2 linked regions of the Arabidopsis thaliana genome follow. The protein of the gene in region 2 interacts with the protein of the main gene of each other region in a pairwise test. Each region holds a gene or a part of one and is shown on either strand. Other genes may lie near its edges. The genes, in order: ESE1 and GATA7.

What was found.
Region 1: the proteins of GATA7 (region 2) and ESE1 interact in a two-hybrid assay, tested with the Arabidopsis thaliana proteins (one large-scale study listed by BioGRID).

What each region holds. Positions count from the first base shown.
Region 1 is NC_003074.8:8,285,952-8,289,321, reverse strand, and holds ESE1 (Integrase-type DNA-binding superfamily protein), read right to left. Parts: upstream 1,381-3,370; 5' UTR 1,354-1,380; coding exon 934-1,353; 3' UTR 720-933; downstream 1-719.
Region 2 is NC_003075.7:17,146,497-17,150,258, forward strand, and holds GATA7 (GATA transcription factor 7), read right to left. Parts: upstream 2,001-3,762; 5' UTR 1,716-2,000; coding exon 1,515-1,715; intron 1,396-1,514; coding exon 880-1,395; 3' UTR 644-879; downstream 1-643. UniProt on the Arabidopsis thaliana protein: Transcriptional activator that specifically binds 5'-GATA-3' or 5'-GAT-3' motifs within gene promoters. May be involved in the regulation of some light-responsive genes.

The sequences.
Region 1 (3,370 bases), on a different chromosome or scaffold from region 2:
GTTTGTGTGATTAGCCTCATTGCTATAACTCCTTCTTGAACATTGTAAAATTCCTCAGTTTGTAGAAGAGAAGTCAGACGAGAAAATTTTCATTATAATTAACCATCCTAGAGAATCTATGGACGATGAATTGATATCGGTGTGCTAAAAGAAATATTCTAATAGAACAATATATTATCTTTTTACTTGAAAATCAACTTTGCCAACAACTAGAACATCGTCGTATGTGAGAAATTGAGATTATCGTATCCGATCAAGATGATCATCTATAATAAATTTTTGTTTAAGGAAAAAAAAAGCAGAATTAATATCAACTGTCGTAGTTAAAGTTTTTAAGATAGACTATTAATCCTTTGACTAGGAAAATATGAGAAAACTAGGATATATTGCAAATTTATTTGTTTAAGTATGAGAATCGGTCAAGTGACATTATTGTCTCTGCAGAATCTTTGAGCGCGATATATAGTTTGTATCCACACCACCACAGCAAATAGTTGAGTAGAAAAACCAATAGACCTTGTTGACAAAAAAAAAAAAATAGAGAAGTAGGAGAATAAAAATATATCATTTTTTAGATTCAATGGGATCTCCATAATATTATTGAAAAGAAGAGGTAAAATTAAATTTATTTATAATCAGAAAACTAAACAGAACTTTTTTTTATCTAAATCTAAGTAAACTATTCTCGAGTTAGATCAATGATATATTGTAGGACACTTTTCAGATTCTAGCCAGTAAGGCAGTAACTTGGGCCAAGTCTATTTAATTTATACCCTGAAGCCAATCAACACACTTGTGAGTTGTGACAACTAGTAATTTAAATTTTCCCGGGAAAATTGACTCATAACAGAATAACTTCCTAAACTAAAGTATATTATATTGATTATTACTCTTTACTCCAAAAACATTACACTGTAAGTAAGTAGTGATGATCTAGCGGTTTGCGTCGTTACAATTGTCTTGGTTAGATCTCTCACCATAATCTAAAAGCTCCTCCAATAAACTATCATCCAAATACTCGAACTCAATAACTTCCCTCCCATCATCACCACCACCTCCTCCTCTATATCCCGACGACGAGGAAGCCACTGCATTCTCGTGGCTGCCATTTGGACCGTCCTTCATCATTTGATACTCGTGAGGAAAATTGAGAATGGCCCTTTGGCCTCTCATGCCGAAAGCTGCTCTATCATAAGCCCGAGCCGCGTCTTCCGCTGTGTTAAACGTCCCAAGCCAAACACGAGCACCGTGTCTAGCTGAGTCGCGAATCTCCGCCGCATATTTTCCCCATGGACGCTTTCGTACGCCTCTGTATTTCATCTCATTCGTGTTATAAGACTCTATACGTTCCATGAAAGCTTTTAAGGTTTTTGTTTTTGCATGTACATGAGTTGATAGCTATGACAACTTATACGTGGAAGTAATGTGACTCTATTAGAGAAATCTAGTGGATATTATTTTAACGCACGTGCCTGTTCAAAAGCCTCCTTTAAATTACCAATAAAGTTAAATCAGGGGGATAAATTGCAAATAAAAATATTTATATGCCATCGTAATAGTATATGAAATTTATTGGTGCGACTAAAAAATTGGATATATTGTGGCTGCTCTGTGTACATTATAATATATGAAGAATTAAGGGACTAAATTGTAAAAATCAAAAAGATAGGGTCGTATGTGTATCTGGATGGTCAAGGAGACGGCTAAGTTGAATGAAAGTATTTTTATGACAACGGACCAAAAGATACTCTCAGCCTCTCACTTTTGTTTTTTTGGGTCAAGCTATTTGTTTTTGTTTTTCCTTCAATTAATTGACTCACGTGTCAAATTTAAATGCACGTGTAGTAGATTCTAGTCTTTTAAATTTCAATTTGACCATCGCCAAACACATAGAAATGTGTGTGAATTGAATCATAATACTTATAAAGACATGTAAAATATGATACACTTATAGTAGATAACATAAAATATTTCTGCATTTTGATAGAGCATACTACTTTTGTTTTTGTTTTTCCTTCAATTAATTGACTCACGTGTGAAATTTGAATGCACGTGTAGTAGATTCTAGTCTTTTAAATTTCAATTTGACCATCACGAAACACATAGAAATGTGTGTGAATTGAATCATAATACATATAAAGACATGTAAAATATGATAACACTTATAGTAGATAATATAAAATATATATACAGTTTTGATAGACAAGTTATTTCAGTTTTAATAACATATATTTTAAAAAATATAGTTAAAATAAATTCAAATTTTAGGAGTTGTGTGTATTGTAAACCTATTTGATCAAATTATATGTACTTTAGCATGATTATATCACTACAAAACATTGCAGAAAGAACATTTTAGAACAGCTGTATATTAGCTAGGTTCAAAAAAATAACTACAAATGTCAAATCATGGGCTTAGGCCTCTTAATTCGACATTGTTACTGGGTATGTTGAGCGACCCAATAAGCCCAACAAACTGTTTCCCACCAATGCTTGAAGGCCATATATTGGACAAAGGATATTAGTTTATAAAAACATCTTCATCTCAAAATATGTAGGAGAACAACTTTAACATCCAATAGAATATGTTCACTTTTGTTAACTTTATATATTACCCTAGGTCGTATCATCTTTTCAATGTGAAATTCCTAACACGTTCTCCTCGAAATAATGGTTTTCCGTCCAATTTCGAATTGATCACACTATGCAAATATTACGTAGATCAAATATGGTCTCTAATACCACATTAAGTTTCATAGCTTTTAACTTGAAATTAATTAACAATGAGTGTATTATCTCATATCACTATAGGTCCCATCACATGTTGGATGTGGGTTATGCTTAAAATAATTTCGAGTATTGAAATGTGTATTTTCATGAGTATAAAACAAAACGAAAGAAATCTAATTCAGAAATTGGATAAAGTTGTGGAAGTAACATCAGCATGTACCAAATAATTTCACTTAAACAAAAAAATGTACCAAATAATTTCATAACATAGGTTTTAAATTACAAAGATAAAATATAATGAAAAGATCATCTCCGGGAGATAGATGCTTGAAATCCGAAGATGCATGGCGGCGTTTGAAAACACCAACGAACGTTTTGTTGTTCCAACTTCCAAGTGTCAAAAACTTAAAAGAAAACATGAATGATTCTTTGATTCTTTCACTGTAATGATCATGACACTGCTTCACTTGTCTTTCCTTTTCTTCGATTGGCCATTTTCCCACTTTGTGTCTTTTATTTGTTCCTGCTTTTATCAAAGTTAGATTTTTTTTCCATGTCAAGTGCCAACTCTTTCACAAGTCTTCGACTTTTTGACCAAACAAGTAATTGGTTTGGCCTTCTATTGAGTTTGTGGATACTG
Region 2 (3,762 bases):
TCACAGTTTCACTTCCGGACCAAAATTTTTGATAAGGATCCAAAAGTTGTGTTTTAATCAAATTTTAACCAACCTGATATCATAATTTTAACCAAATTGTTACTACTAATCTTTATGTGAGGGTTTGCTTTAGTATTTTACATGTACAAAAAAAATAAAAAAAATGGAGTCACCAATATTTGTGTATGCAAACAGAAAGTATACCAGTTTGTATTCTTAAATATATAAACACTGTGTCAACTATCAATGATACAATAACATAATTTAGAAAATAACCAATGCATTGGTATTTGTAGCCGCACAAGTATTAGATCGATATGGATTGATTTTCAGTTTTTTTAACATAAGAGTGTGAATGAGGGGCTCGTACGTCGTAAATTTTTAGGGTTGTGTAATTGAAAAATTAAATTGATTTTTGGTCAAATTTTATCTTTTATCTTGTCTCAATGTTAACAACTTCTATACTGGTTTAATAAAAATATACAAAATTCTACTTTAACTTTAAGGGGCAACGACGATATTTTGAAAAAACAGTTATAAAGGCAAAATTTCAAAATAACGTTTTAACAACTTTTTTTTTTTTTGCATTAGCAGTTTTTTAAAAAAACTCTAAATGAAAAGAGTGTGAGCTAAGAGGAAGTAACAGTAGTTAATTATGGTTGTGGTCACAAAAATTTGGGTAACGGTTGGACTGTATTTAACAAAACTTTTAATGATCATGATTTCTAATCATGCATACTCTATCAAATAAAATTGTCTCTAATTATAGCTTAACTTCATGAATGTGAAAACAGTCTACGGATCTCTCTCTGATTCTCTGTTTACAAGATTACACAATGCACATGGCATTGATAAAATTTCAAGATAGAAAAAAATGGCTTAAACCCGAGCCGGATCCGCCACTTTCATGAGCCGTAGCTCCAACACTTTCCGGTGAGAGTTAGAGTGAATCTCGTTGGTGAATGTTGGGCTACAAGCGGGTCTATATTCGGGTAAAAGTCGACCCGACTTAAACCGGACCCCACAAGCATTACACAGTGTCTTCGCACCTAATGGACCCATTCTCCATTGAGGCGTCTTCTGGACTCCACAATGGCTGCAGCACCGCCTCAGCTGCTGCTGCTGGACTACGCCACCGTACGATGCATCCACCTTCTGTCTCCCTCTCTTCTTCCTTCTGGCAACAGCGGTGGATAGCAGAGGAGATGGAGACTCCATAGACCAGATACGGCCGTTGGTGCGGCGGCGTTTGCTTCTAGGTTTAACAGGAACGCACTGTCTCCGAACCTCCACCGACGCGACTGGATTCACCGGGAAATCACTCGAAATATACGATTCTGAGAAAGAATCCTCCACGAAGTTGGATAACCACTCTAAGTCCTCCAAATCACCAACCTTCACAAACAAAACAAAAATGAGATTAAAAACAGAGCAAAACAGAGCAAAAACAGGGTAGAGAGAAACAGAGTGTACAAAACAGGGGAGATAGAAACAGAGTGTGTAAGTGGGCTCACCGGAGCGTCGCCGGGAAAAGATAAGAGATCCTCTGGCGGTGAAAGACGGGTACTTTGGTCAGAAAAGCTCTTAAATTTCTCACGTTCTTGTTCGTCTTCTTTTCTTTGTGACGAAGACGACTCTAAAGAAGTGTCGGCGTTAGAGAGGTCGAGAAGATCGTCGACGGAAAAATCACCGAGAAATGCTTCTACACACTCCATTTTTGTCTCTAGCCGTATGAAAGCACTACAAGTATTTTAAATAAAGGAGGAGCGAAGCGAATCCATATTTGAAAAAGTTTGTTCGTGTTCCAATATATTTTACACAAATTTCATTCTTTCTTTTTCAAAATTTTAAATTCTTTACGTGTCTATCGAGTGAGAGAGACAGTGGAGAGTGGACAGCACTGATTGGGGTTTGTAAGCAAGAGTGGGTTTTAGGTTTTTGTGATTTTGGAAGACTTGTTTGGTATTTGTCTCGTTACAAATCTCGTAACAAATCATGCATTGCCATGTCAGCATTTCACATTGAAAAGGAAACCAAAAATACGTTTCCTTCGTAAGTAAAATGTTTTTTTTTTTTTTTTTTAAATGTTATCTGAACTTATCCGTAGAATTTTATTTAAAGATAACCGCTCTTTGTAGTCAATTCAATTTATTAGAGTTCTTAATGCCAAATTTTAAGTTCATAATATTAAAAGACAGCAAAGATTTCTTCATAATTTAGAACTATCATTTTTGACTTAACCATCGGCGCAGAGTTTGCAAGTCTTTTTAAGTTCTTTTACTATCAAAATAACTGAATAAAGTCATTCAGAACTAGTGGTATTCTAACGATCTAATGGCTCAACCTAATTAATCATGACCGTTGAAAGTGTTGTTGGGCCAAAAATATCGTCGGTTAATACAACTTTCCCTCTATATAAAGCTAGTTTCTTGCAAAATATGGTTTTTTTTTGTTAACATAAAAAAGAAACTAGTAGCACATATATATATATATATATATATATATATTTTTTTTTTTTTTTGTTGTATCAGTATTTCGAAGGTTTTACAGAAAAGAAGAAAAAAATTAACAATAATTCATACGTCGAGAGTAATGATTGGACTATCAGGCTTCTCGGGCCCACTCGACCGTCGGTGGAAGGCCCAATTTTACCAAAACAAACAAAAACGTTATTAGTAAGGGCCTATTATTTATTTCTTCTTTAATTTCAAGGAAAGAGTGACCATCATATGTTGAGCGCGTGAAAATATCGCTCATGGTTATATATTTGTTTTTTCTTTGAGATAATAATTTCCATTAGAAAAAGTCGGTTTCAAAGTTAGAAAAAAAACATCTAAACATTCACGTAAAGTTTACCAGGAGCAATGGAGCATAAACATATTCAAATTACACACATACCTAAATAGTAAATAATAATAAAATACATAGACTTGTATTTTTATTATAAATATAATGAACTACATTCCAAACAATTGGGTGTTTGGTCTAGTGGTATGATTCTCGCTTCGGGTGCGAGAGGTCCCGAGTTCGATTCTCGGAACACCCCTCTTTAAATTCTCTACTGCTACATCAATTTTTTTCCCCTCGGATTAAATTAACGCAAGAAAGTCGTAGACTGATGACATACAATATGGTGGTGGCTCACTAAACTGACTATATGCCTAATTAGCCCGATGGGCCACATGGGCTCAATGCAAGTCGGTAAAAGGTGGAATGTTATTGAATGCGATGTATGTTGGCAGAGGAGTAACCGTACAAATTAGACTATTTTATACCCATGAAATCATTATCGTTCGATAACATAAGATAGTAAACTTTCATGATCTCGTTCTCTATGCATCCATCTCTCATCTGTGTAGTGTAGCTTTTTTTTTCTTTTTTCCCCACAGTATTTATCTCGTAAACTATACTTTCATATAGTCATATATGTGATATGAACATTGACACTGTACGTAACTTATATGATGATTAAGTTTACATGAAAACCATTCAAGTTTTTTTAAAAGCGTAAATACAAAATTACTTCATGAAATTTACGTTTATAATTTAAAATGAACTTCGATTTAAGTTATTTGCATTCAGAGAAAATAGAAATTAATTAAATGTAGCAACGATGTAAGTGATAGCCATAAAAATATCACATTCTTTGTATATCGGAAATTTGGTTGAGCTTTTAAGTCTTGAACCCTCGGATAAAAAAAAATGTACACTTGAAACCAATATAGCATTGCTCCATAAATATCAATATCTTAGACCCAAAAA